3 linked regions of the Kluyveromyces lactis genome follow. The protein of the gene in region 1 purifies or fractionates together with the protein of each later gene. This does not show direct contact. Links are inferred from orthologs where the notes say so. Each region holds a gene or a part of one and is shown on either strand. Other genes may lie near its edges.

What was found. The genes of interacting proteins can lie anywhere in the genome.
Region 2: the proteins of LSM8 (region 1) and PRP8 purify together in Saccharomyces cerevisiae (affinity purification with mass spectrometry; 4 studies listed by BioGRID, with this or other methods). This does not show direct contact. The link is inferred for Kluyveromyces lactis from reciprocal best matches to the Saccharomyces cerevisiae genes LSM8 and PRP8.
Region 3: the proteins of LSM8 (region 1) and SNU114 purify together in Saccharomyces cerevisiae (affinity purification with mass spectrometry; 3 studies listed by BioGRID, with this or other methods). This does not show direct contact. The link is inferred for Kluyveromyces lactis from reciprocal best matches to the Saccharomyces cerevisiae genes LSM8 and SNU114.

Annotation. Positions count from the first base shown.
Region 1 is NC_006041.1:1,465,557-1,470,338, reverse strand, and holds LSM8 (U4/U6-U5 snRNP complex subunit LSM8), read left to right. Parts: upstream 1-2,290; coding exon 2,291-2,581; downstream 2,582-4,782. Other genes in the region: TDA10 (putative ATP-dependent kinase), read left to right, coding at 380-1,252; methylthioribulose 1-phosphate dehydratase MDE1, read right to left, coding at 2,620-3,237; KLLA0_E16413g (uncharacterized protein), read left to right, coding at 3,474-3,794; CIR1 (Cir1p), read right to left, coding at 3,912-4,691. UniProt on the Saccharomyces cerevisiae protein: Component of the nuclear LSM2-LSM8 complex, which is involved in spliceosome assembly. The LSM2-LSM8 complex plays a role in the biogenesis of the spliceosomal U4/U6-U5 tri-snRNP complex by accelerating PRP24-mediated annealing of U4/U6 di-snRNA.
Region 2 is NC_006037.1:471,930-476,229, forward strand, and holds part of PRP8 (U4/U6-U5 snRNP complex subunit PRP8), read left to right. Parts: coding exon 1-4,300. UniProt on the Saccharomyces cerevisiae protein: Functions as a scaffold that mediates the ordered assembly of spliceosomal proteins and snRNAs. Required for association of BRR2 with the spliceosomal U5 snRNP, and the subsequent assembly of the U4/U6-U5 tri-snRNP complex.
Region 3 is NC_006037.1:603,569-607,810, forward strand, and holds the start of SNU114 (U5 snRNP GTPase SNU114), read left to right. Parts: upstream 1-1,442; coding exon 1,443-4,242. Other genes in the region: TPO5 (Tpo5p), read right to left, coding at 1-1,283. UniProt on the Saccharomyces cerevisiae protein: Component of the U5 snRNP complex required for pre-mRNA splicing. Binds GTP.

The sequences.
Region 1 (4,782 bases):
TTTCTCCAAATCTCCAGTGTCGTGTAGGATATTTCAACTGTCTTGTTCTCTCTACTTAACACCTAAGTAGCACTGGTAACTGGTCTAAGTATCTACCCGTATATATACCAATCCAGTATACCCCTCTTTGAAGTCACAACGGTGTGGAGTATGGTATCTTTTCTCTTCTTTTTTTGGTGTGTTCAAAGGCTTTGTTCATGAGAGTCATCAAACCTTTAAAGGTATGAATTGATTATCGCCGAAATTCTTGCCTAAGAGAACAATTTGAAGACGAAACCTTTAAAGGCAAACACAGCTACCGGCAAGATCTGCAACCATTGGAGACTGAAACCACCGTATGGTATTGGATTGCTGGGTTTGAAGAGAGATTGCAATAGAAATGAACGTTGCAGAGTTAAGCGTGGAGTTTGTTGAACAGAAATTGGAACAACGGAAAGTTCAAGGTGACAGGAAAGGTCCTTTGTTTGTGTTGGTTTCCGGGCCACAAGGGTCTGGTAAGTCGTATAATAGTGAGATATTGTTTCGTTCGTTGAAGAAGAAGGGCGTGAGAGCAGCATTGACATCCATTGACGATTTTTATCTGACCCATGAGGACCAATTGAAGTTACAGTCAGCATTCCCAGAGAATAAATTACTACATGGAAGGGGGTTACCGGGCACTCATGACTTGAAAGCATTGCAAGAGACATTGAAAGAGCTTGCAAATGATGAAGACAAAGTGCATGATGGTAAAAAGATCCAGTTGCCCGTATATGACAAGTCTAGATTTAACGGAGAAGGAGACAGGATTGGCAGTATTGATATTGAATTGCCATTGGACTGTGTGATCATCGAGGGATGGTTCCTTGGGTTCCAAGCCATTACAGAAACAGAATTGGAAAGGAAAAATTCGTCACCTATACTGTTGAACCACCAGTTGTTACATCTGAAACAAGTGAACCGTTCGTTGAAAGAGTACGGACAATTGCTATGGAATAATGAGTCATTGGATACTGTCGGTATCAAGTTCGCAACTGACGACACCAACAATGTATATAGGTGGAGGTTACAACAAGAGCATGCTATGCTAGCATCTCAGGGCGAAGGAATGACTGATGCGCAAGTGAAGGCGTTTGTTGATAGATATATGCCTTGTTATGAACTATATTATAAAAACTTCATTGACCCGAACACCGCGTTCGGCAAAACAAATCTTACCATTGCCATCGATGCCGACAGAAATGTGGTCAATCATTTCATTTCGCACTCTTGAACTTCTTCCCAGGGGATTAATACCCTGAGTCGTTGTGTCTGGTTTTGATTTAGGTGTTGAGATTCAGGCGTAGCGATAGATTCATGTCTCAATCTTTTCTCAAGCAACGCCTGCCTCTTGCTAGCTAACCTCATATCTTCATGCAACGTCTGGATGGCATCCGTGAGGTCTTGCATTTGTTGCACGACATTGAACATGACATTTTCATTCATGGTAAATCTGTCCATCCATTCTCGATGTCGTTTATCCATCTGCTTCGTAATATTATCCGCTAAAAGTTGCAAACTTTCACCGCTTGATGCCTTTAATTGATCCAAACGAGACTTTACTTCAGAGACAATCTCCGTTCCCGTTTCTTGATTACCATCTAAATACACACAGAAATAACGGCGACTTCTCGGAGTCTCATCCGTTATTTTCCTAGTTAGTAAAAACTGACCGTAGTGACTCTTACAAAGAATCATTCCTAAAGGGTATCAATCAACGACCAATCCACGTAGATAGAACTAAGTAAATGCCCTTATACTAAGTAGATATTCCTTTCATTGTGCATAGAAACCATACCTTTTCTACTGTCAAGTTCTGCTTGGAATAACTTTCGCGAATGGCTCAATTCATCCACGTTCTCCTTGATAATCTTGAATAGACTCTCAGACGTGTCCCGCAACTGCACAGTCTCCAACTCTAGACGACTAGTCCATTCTAAGATCTGTTTGTCGGCGTCTGGAATCTTTTTAAAGGGAGAAGACCCGTAATCGGTCTCACTTTCATTCTCTTCCGCCATTTCAACCGTGATTCGGAGCTTCTAACAATATTAGCCACAACACAACTCTAGATAACTGCTGTAGAAGCCTGTATACTTCTGTTATGATGTGTGATTCTTCTTTGTTGAAGATGTTGTTGTTATTGATAATAGAGAATCTTCAAATAGAAAACATTACTTTCAAATTATAATAGTAACGAAGAAAAGATAACGATCCATCGGAGCGAAGATATCCACATAACTGCCCCCTTGTTTGCTAGAACAGTGAATGGACAATGAGTGCTCTATTGAAAGATTATTTGGACAAGAAGGTGATGTTGGTCAATGTCGATGGAGACACATACTATGGTGAAATGAAAGGGTTTGATCATGCGGGAAACATGATTCTTTTAAAGGACAGCAAGATATGCATTATACGGAGTAGTGAAGTGGTATTATGTGGGCTGATAGATGATATACCAGAAGAAAAAGAACTGGCAAAACTTCAGAAGTTCCCAGCGTGTAAGAATAAGTTACCGTTTAAAGAAGAAATAGACATTTGGAGTGAGCGATGGGCTAACAGATGAAATATAAATAATGTTATACACAGCTGCTGGTCTCCCTTTCATTGACCGAGTTCTTTCATTTTGAGAGCTACTTCAAAGAGGTAATCGATGGACTCGATGTATATCTTGGCTTTCTTTGGCGTGGGGCCCCAAACGAAGAGTCCATGTCTTTTCACCAGTACCGCACATGCATTTGGATAATCCTTAATCATTTGCTTCAACGCTGGCATGAGATCCTGTTCTTCTGGAGCGTTATCGATGATTGGAATACGTAGGGTATCAACGTTCCTCAAATTGGTACCGTCACCTTTGGGTATCGCCTTGATTTGTTCAATGTCCTTGATGGTAAACTCCTTCTCATATATCATTGAACAAAGCACCGCATTGATAGAGTGCGTGTGTATGACGCACGAGGCACCCAGCGTCTTGAATAGCTCCAGGAATAACGGTGTGCACGCAGAGGGTTTCAATCCAGGCGCACCACATTGATAAGTATCGTCCTGTATATTGTATTTAACAATTTGTTCAGGTTCCAACAGTTCTTTCTCAATGCCACTTGGTGATATGTATGCGATGTTGTCCTGTTTAATGCCGATACCACCACCTGTACCGAGCACCCATTTGTTCACGTAGAACAATTGACACATGGAACATATTGTTTCACTGGTATCGCTCATTGTGTGTCGCTACATGTGGCATTATGTGTCTAATTGAAATTAATATCAACCATAGAATGAAGTTAAATGAATGAATCAAGTTTTAAATATTGTTTGCAACAAACTGATGAACAGAGGGTACAGAGAGAGTATATCAGACGACTTCAATAGTATCATAGCAGGTTGAGTAGCCTTCGGTGAGATCAGATTGTATAGTTGGAGATTATTCGCCACCATCACCAGGCAAATCATAAGTAATGGATTCAAAGTTAAGGAAAGTGGTATTATACCATGGAGTTGAATCGTCGGAGAAATGGCCCAAGGGGAGGAAGAAGCTAACTTTGCCCAGCCTTCAGTTGCTGCCGGATACAGACACTGCTGAATTGCAGCAAGTAATACAGTTTAATAGCGATATCGAGGAATTGATACGGCAACGACAAGAGAGCAAAGAGACGTTCGATAAATGGTACCAGGAGACGTATCTTGCATCGAAACCAAAGGGACTACTCGAACATTTGGCACCAAAGAGACGAGACATGAGGAAACTTGGGACCCCTGACAAGGATAATGCAAACTGAGAAATTGTTCGTACTCTTATATTAACTTATACAACGTGTTAACATTTTATACAATAACCACATATCATTCATAATATTATATAAGTCGAATGTTTCAAATCAAGCCAGAAGTAGTGTTCAAACCAGTTTGGCTTCCTTTAGCTTTGAGACCAATTCATCGACAGAGGAAACCTTGATACCAGCACTCTTGACTGGAGGTTCTTCGACCTTTAGCAGTTTCAATTGGGGGTCCAAATTGATCCCTTCAAAATCTTTCTTCAACTTCAACTTCTCCAAAGGCTTCTTCTTGGCTTTCATCAAATTTGGTAACGTAGCGTATCTTGGCGTATTCAAACGTAGATCAGTGGTGATGATCATAGGTAATTTTGCGACCACGATTTCTTCACCACCGTCGATTTCCTTGGTGACTCTGACACTGGCGCCGTCTTCTAACAATTCTACTTTACAAGCGTTGGTAGCTTGTGGCCAGTTCAACAAACCAGCGAGCATTTGACCAGTGTTGTTGCTATCATCATCGATGGCTTGCTTTCCGAGCACAACCAAGTTAGCATTCTTGTCTTCAACAATTTTCTTCAACACCTTGCTGATCACCAATGGCTCCAATTCGGTAGAATCATGCTCAACCAAAGTTGAAGAATCACAACCTTTGGCTAAAGCTGTCCTCAACACATCTTGGGCCTTCAGTGGGCCAACGGAAACGGCATGGATTGATTCGACGGCATCAGGATGAGTTTCCTTCAATTTCACAGATTCTTCCACTGCAATATCGTCAAACGGATTGATAGAGAACTTCAAGTTCTTGGTCTCAACGTTGGTAAACTGCTTGTTGACACGAGGTCTGATGGCATGATCCACAACACGCTTCACTGGCACCAAAATTCTTAGCTTGGACGACATGACTTGGAGGTGACTTTATTTCTTTGAATTGAATAATATGTCAATAAGTCTCGATTCAGGAGCGACGAATAACGGAAGCTAGAACAGATTT
Region 2 (4,300 bases), on another chromosome or scaffold:
AACGTGAAGAGTTAGCTTTAATTGAAGAGGCATATGACAATCCTCATGATACCTTGAATAGAATTAAAAAACTATTGCTAACCCAAAGATTATTCAAGCCAATACAACTAACAATGATGGATCATTATCAACACATATCTCCAGTCTATAACGTTGATCCGTTGGAGAAAATTACCGATGCATATCTTGACCAGTATCTATGGTATGAAGCTGACAGAAGGCAGCTTTTCCCTAGTTGGATAAAGCCAGGTGACTCAGAAATCCCGCCACTTCTTGTTTACAAATGGTGTCAAGGCATTAACAACTTAGATTCTGTATGGGACATCAGCAAAGGGCAATCGACCGTATTGTTGCAAACTGATTTACAAGAATTCGTTGAAAAGATGGATTTGACACTAATAAACAGGCTCCTAAGGTTAATTATCGATCCGACATTAGCGGATTACATTACTGCAAAGAATAATGTCAGTTTGATCTTTAAGGATATGAATCATGTTAACAAATATGGTCTAATAAGGGGATTACAATTTGCACCATTTGTTTATCAATTTTATGGTTTAATGATTGATATTCTCATCTTGGGACATGAAAGGGCACAGGAACTAGCAGGCCCTCCAAACGAACCATCTGAATTCTTGCAATTTCCAGATAAAGCTACTGAAACGAAGAGCCCAATTCGCCTCTACTCACGCTATCTTGACAAAATCCATATTTTATTCCACTTTGAAGAATCTGAGTCTGATGAGCTTATCCAAGACTATTTGATGGAAAACCCCGATCCAAATTTTGAAAATTCTGTTGGTTATAACAACAAGAAATGCTGGCCTAGAGACGCCCGCATGAGGTTAATCAGACACGATGTTAATCTAGGTCGTGCTGTTTTCTGGGAACTTACATCTAGGGTACCAAAATCACTTGTTAACATAACGTGGGAGAATACTCTTTCTTCAGTTTATAGCAAGAATAATCCTAATTTACTTTTCACTATGTGCGGTTTTGAGGTGAGAATACTACCGAAATCTCGGATGGAAGATGTCATTTCTCATGATGAGGGTGTATGGGATTTGGTGTTGGACTCCACAAAAGAACGGACTGCCAAAGCGTTTTTACAGGTATCACAAGAAGCTATTGATGAGTTTAGAGGTCGTATTCAAAGTATTTTGATGGGTTCCGGCTCCACAACTTTTACAAAAATTGTGGGCAAATGGAATACTGCACTAATCGCTTTGTTTACCTATTTTAGAGAATCTATCGTCACGACAGAACCGTTACTCGACTTACTCGTGAAATCTGAGACTAGAGTTCAAAATAGAGTAAAACTCGGCTTAAATTCTAAAATGCCAACAAGGTTCCCTCCAGCAGTGTTTTATACACCTAAAGAGTTAGGTGGTTTGGGAATGCTCAGCGCATCGCACATTTTAATTCCCGCTTCTGACTTGAGGTGGTCAAAACACACAGATACTGGAATAACACATTTCAGGGCAGGGATGTCCCACGAAGATGAGAAGATGATACCAACAATTTTCCGATACATTACTACCTGGGAGAACGAATTTTTGGACTCACAGAGAGTATGGGCGGATTATGCTGCTAAAAGACAAGAAGCCATAAAACAAAATCGTAGGTTGGCATTTGAAGAATTAGAGGGTTCTTGGGATAGAGGTATACCGCGGATCAGTACCATATTCCAAAAAGATAGGCATACGCTAGCCTATGATAAGGGTCACAGGATTAGGCGACAATTCAAAGAGTATTCAGTGGAACGTAGTAATGCTTTCTGGTGGACAAATAATCGTCATGATGGTAAATTATGGAACTTGAATGCCTATCGTACGGATGTCATTCAGGCCTTAGGGGGTATCGAAACAATTCTTGAGCACACATTATTTAAAGGAACTGGCTTTAAATCATGGGAAGGACTTTTCTGGGAGAAAGCCTCTGGTTTTGAAGATTCAATGCAGTTCAAGAAACTTACTCATGCACAAAGAACTGGTTTGAGTCAGATCCCTAATCGTAGGTTTACGTTATGGTGGTCTCCGACGATTAATAGAGCGAACGTCTACGTTGGGTTTTTGGTGCAATTGGATTTAACAGGAATATTCTTGCACGGTAAAATTCCAACATTGAAGATATCTTTAATTCAAATTTTCCGAGCACATCTATGGCAAAAAATCCACGAAAGTGTGGTTTTCGACATCTGTCAAATTCTGGACGGCCAAATGGATATACTACAGATTGAATCTGTTCAAAAAGAATCAATTCATCCACGTAAGTCGTATAAGATGAATTCGTCTGCTGCTGACATCACATTGAACAGTATTTACAAATGGAAGGTTAGCAGACCAACATTGTTGCATCAGACGAAAGATTCTTTCGACGCTACCACAACTGACAAAATGTGGATCGATGTGCAGCTTAGATATGGTGACTATGATTCTCATGATATATCAAGATATGTCCGTGCGAAATTTTTAGATTACACCACAGATAACGTGAGCTTGTACCCGTCTCCTACTGGTATTATGATCGGTATTGACTTGGCCTATAATATTTACGACTCCTATGGAACGTGGTTTGAGGGATTGAAGCCCTTGATACACAACGGTATGAAAACAATAATGAAAGCTAATCCAGCACTTTACGTTTTGAGGGAGCGTATCAGGAAAGGTCTTCAGATATATCAATCTCAAGTTCAAGAGCCATTTTTGAACTCATCCAACTACGCAGAGCTATTTTCCAATGACACAAAATTCTTTATCGATGATACGAATGTTTACCGGGTCACTGTTCATAGAACTTATGAAGGCAATGTGGCTACTAAGCCTATCAACGGATGCGTGTTTACTTTAAATCCGAAAACAGGTGAACTATATTTGAAAATAATTCACACTTCGGTGTGGGCGGGGCAGAGCAGATTGGCTCAATTGGCAAAATGGAAAACCGCAGAAGAAGTAAGTGCATTGGTTAGATCGTTACCCAAAGAAGAACAACCTAAACAAATTATAGTTACTAGAAAAGCTATGATGGACCCTATGGAAGTACACATGTTAGATTTCCCAAACATTTCGATTCGTCCAACTGAGCTCAGATTACCTTTTTCTTCTGTTTTGAACATAGAAAAATTAAATGATGTTGTTTTAAGCGCTACAGAACCGCAGATGGTTTTGTTCAACATTTATGATGACTGGCTAACTCGAGTTTCTGCCTACACTGCTTTCTCTAGATTGATATTGCTATTAAGAGCGCTCAAAACCAATGAAGAAAAAGCCAAAATGATTCTATTAGAGGATCCTACAATCCCAACGAGAGCTAATCATCTATGGCCTTCTTTTACTGATGATCAGTGGATTGAAATTGAGACGAAGATGCGTGATCTAATTCTCTTAGAGTATGGTCAAAAATACAATGTAAACATTGCTTCTTTGACTCAAACTGAAATCAAGAATTTGATTTTAGGACAGAACATTAGAGCTCCATCTGTTCAGAGGCAGAAGATGGCAGAATTGGAGGCTGCAAGAAATCAGAAAACTGATGAGTCGTCGCAGTCTGCCACGGCAGCCATGAAGCTAAAAACAATCAATGCTCAAGGTGAAGAAATTACAGTGGTGTCATCCAGCAATTATGAGTCCCAATCTTTCAGTTCGAAAAATGCTTGGCGGTCAAATGCAATCTCCAATTCATTGCTACATTTGAAGCTTAAGAACATATATGTTACTGCCGAAGATTTTGTAGAAGATAAAGATGTCCTCGTATTCCCACGGAACTTGTTGAAGAAGTTTGTCACAATAGCTGATGTCGATGTCCAAATTGCAGGGTATATGTACGGGTCACCTGTAAAAGATCACCCTAATGTGAAGGAAATTAAGACGATAGCACTTGTCCCTCAACTCGGCAGTTCCGCAACTGTTCGCATATCTCCTCCCCCCTCATCTTCCAAATATCTCAACGACATGGAACTGTTGGGATGGATACATACCCAAAAAGTCGATTCCAAATTCATGTCACCATCTGAAGTGATCACTCATTCCAAAATGTTTTCAGATCATAACGAAAGTGCTGTTGATTTGTGCATAAATCTAATCCCAGGTGCCGTATCAATTACAGGATATACGTTAAGCACTACGGGTTTCAACTGGGGCTTACAATCGAAAGACATAACGGACCCTTCACCAGAAGGGTTTGAAGCTTCATTTAGCGAGACTGCACAGATTTTATTATCTGAACGCATTATGGGCAATTTCTTGGTACCTTCGTCATCGATATGGAATTACGCTTTCATGGGAACTGCTTTTAGCGAAGA
Region 3 (4,242 bases), on another chromosome or scaffold:
ACCTTAGATTCTGACGCAGGATCCACATAAGTCCAGAGGTGATGATATGGAATACCACGATCACGGCTTAAACTGTACAGTGCTCTTGAAGATGTAGTCACCGAGCCAATACCTGAAAACAATAGGTTTCCCAAGATCAATAGAACAAGGAAGATGGAAACGAATAACGATTTAGTAGATTTTGTGAAGATAAGCACGATGGGCATGACACCTTCATGATTCATTACCTCAGAGACATCAGGTAGAATGAGCATCATTGGGATCAAGAAAAATAGTCCGGAAACTAGTGAGATTATCACAGAGCGTGTCATACTGTAAGGAATATCTTTCTCTGGTTTCTCAGTTTCGTCAGATAATGCCGATAACATCGCAAACCCTTGGAAAGTGAAATTAGATTGCTGAAACCCTCCAATTAAAAATGACAAGGCCATAGAACTATACCCCGACAAACTATTATCGAATTTGGTAAAGACATCCTTGAATGATCTATGGTTTGGTTGGAATAATAGGAGAAGTGTACTTGTGAATAATATCGCATATAAGATCCAGTAAACACAGACCTTATTGATAGTTTCAATGAAACTTGAAAATTTTAGATTAATGACTCCAACCACAGTCACAATGAGATAAAACATTAGCACAGTCCATAACGTCAACCACCGGGAGTCTATCAGAGATTCATTAGTCATTGTCAGCAAAGAAATAATCAATTGTGCACCCGCAAACGTAATACTAGTGCTCATCGTCCAACTTCCAAACAACATTAGCCAACCACAGTACCAAGACATACGCAACCGAAGTCTGCCAGGCGCAAGCATGGCCGCTGCACCGTGAAGTTCTATGGGGTACTTCGAGACTATCTCACTGAGCGACAGTGAACTAATCCACGTCATTATCCCACATATCAGATACCCAAATATTATCGATGGAGATCCACCATTTAGCAATCCAATACTCATAGTAGTGCTCATACCAAGTACGGGACTCATCAACCCAAACCCTAGACCAATAACAGAAGTCCGCGAAAGTAAATTCTTGTCAAGTTGCTGTACATATGTAAACTCTTTAACCTCATCGGGAATATCCTGGTCTTCCTCGTTCAATAAAGACAACAATCGCTCGGGAATGTGTATGTTCCCGTTAAGATTAGAAAGCCAGATGTATTCAGGCATTTCAAAATGCAGTTCGGCTCTGTGTGACCCCTTGGTAAGCTCACCCTTTTTATTTCCTAGAACCCTTTCGGCATCCGTCTTGGCAAAATGTCTGTCTTTTCGAGGGCTCATCGATATTTTCAGTTCTTAGACATTATGTAAATGTTGACGAAAGTCAAAGCTTCGAGTAATGAAGATAGAATGATAAGCACATGCATTGCTCTTAGGGAAGACTACTGCGATTTGGGTGACGTGACTCAGCACTGAGTACTTTTGGAAGGAAATACAATAATGGATGAAGATTTGTACGATGAGTTCGGTAATTTCATTGGGGATCCAATGCAATTAATCGATTCTGATGATGATAGTTTGGAAGAAGTAGGAGAGCAGGAAGCTCAACATGAATTACGGCAAAAGATAGTCGAGGCTGACTCTACCGATGTGGTACTTCGAGATGTGAACCGTGATTTCGATGATGATGTTGAAGTTTTGTTGGAAGTGGAAGATAGAGAACCTGAGAAACCATTGATTGGGGACGATTCGAAATCATATAGCGAAGCTGTTAACAGGAAAGTACCTAAAGCACTATTTGACAGAGGGTACTTGAAAAGCCTTTTCTCGATACCAGAACGTCAGTTAAATGTTGGAATTTTCGGGGCGCTACATTGTGGTAAGACTTCTTTCACGGATATGTTTGCGTTAGATACTCATCGCAATCTTCCGTCCTTGACAAAAAAAGTTAAGGAGGGATGGGTACCGTTTAGGTACCTCGACCAAGCGAGGATAGAAAAGGAACGTGGTATTTCGCTTAGATTGAATGGTATGTCGTTTGCATATGAATCGTCAAGAGGACGTACGTATGCAGTGACGATGTTGGACACACCTGGACATGTAAATTTTTGGGACGATGTCGGTATTGCTTTGACTGCTTGCCAATATGGTGTAATCATCGTTGATGTGATAGAAGGAATTACTTCTGTAGTTTCCAAACTGATAAGAGAATTGATAAGTAATGGGATCCCCTTTATCATCGTTCTTAACAAAATTGATAGATTAATTTTGGATTTGAGACTTCCTCCTACAGACGCATACAGCAAACTACAATATATCGTGAACGAAATAAACACATATACCAAAGAAAGATTCTCACCGGAGCTAGGTAATGTACTCTTTGCCAGTACCAAGTTTGGATTCTTATTCTCTGTGGAGTCTTTTGTGAACTCATTTTACGCTAAATCGTTAAAGGATAAGACAGAACAATTTGCTGCTCAACTTTGGGGTCAAATTAATTACAGAGAAGGAGCATTCTACCAAACAGAATTTATTACGGACAACATTGCATTCATTCAGTTTATTTTACAACCTTTATACAAGGTTTTCACTCATACATTATCTGCATCCGAGGAAGAACTAAGAACAGTCATCGAAACCAATTTTCAAATCAGGCTTTCAGATGAGATTCTATCAAAGGATCCTCAGCCGCTACTTTTTAGCGTGTTTCATGCTATACTACCGCACTATCACTGCTTCATCGATGCTATTGTTTCAACACAGGACCACAAAATCAACAACTTATCATCCGATGAAAGCACTGTTGTACATGTATTGAGACACATGAGCCTGGAAGGTTCCAAGTGGTCCCTTTGTCGGATAATAGAGGGCTCAGTGAAAAAAGGCAACAAACTCTATATTTTCAATGAGTCCGTAGACTCTGTAGTAGATTTTGGTGATGATGAATACTCCAAGGTTACTATTGAGCGTGTAGCCTTAATGGGAGGTAGGTATGTCTACGAACTCGAGGAAGCAATAAAAGGACAGATTGTACTTTTAAAAGGTTTTGAAGATCAGTATACGAAATATGCAACTTTGTCTTCGAGCTTGATGAACCCGCTAGCACCAATTAACTATCTCAACGAATCGGTGTTCAAATTCGCCATACAGCCTCAGAAACCAAGTGAACTACCGAGACTATTGAACGGTCTTCAACAAGCAAACGAATTGTACCCTGCATTAGTGGTTAGAGTTGAAGAAAGCGGCGAAAACATCATAATTGGAACAGGAGAACTTTACCTTGATTGCGTGATGGACGAATTACGGAAAAAATTCTGTGAAATTGAGATCAAAGTAAGCCAACCGCTTGTGCAATTCACGGAAAGTTGTCAGAACGAATCGTTCGCGTCAATTCCTGTAAAGTCAAACAACGGTGTAGTATCACTCAGCGTTATGGCCGAAAAATTAGATGGAAAGATAGTACACGATTTGACGCATGGTGAAATCGACAGTTCAGAATTGAATAACATGAGAAAGTTCTCCAAACGTCTAAGAACCGAGTATGGATGGGACTCATTGGCAGCTAGAAACTGCTGGGATTTATCAAAATGTAATGTATTCATTGACGATACTCTACCTGATGAAACGGATAAGCAACTACTCAAGAAATATAAAGAAAACATTTTACAAGGGTTTGAATGGGCTGTGAAAGAAGGACCATTGGCTGATGAAACAATCCATGCATGCCAATTTAAACTCTTGCAATTCAAGGTACAAGAAGACAGCATCGAAGATATCATCCCATCTCAACTAGTGCCAATGACGAGAAAGGCATGTTACATTGCGCTAATGTCTGCTACTCCAATTATCATGGAACCCATCTATGAAGTCGATATTATCGTATCGGGGGTATTGGAGTCTGTGATTCAGAATTTATTGAAGAGACGCAGAGGTGGAAGAATTTACAAGACAGAAAAGATAGTGGCATCACCATTCATAGAAATAAAGGCTCAATTACCTGTCATCGAGTCGATTGGATTTGAGACAGATCTTCGTGTTGCGACCGCCGGTAGCGGAATGTGTCAAATGCACTTTTGGAATAAAATATGGAGAAAAGTGCCAGGTGACGTACTTGACGAAGAAGCCTTCATACCGAAGTTGAAACCAGCGCCTGCTGCAAGCCTAAGCAGGGACTTTGTGATGAAGACAAGACGTCGCAAGGGTTTATCTGAAAGTGGTCACATGACTCAAGACGGGCCATCATTAAAGAAATACATTGATCAAGATCTATTCAAGAAGTTGCAACAAAAACGATTTGTAT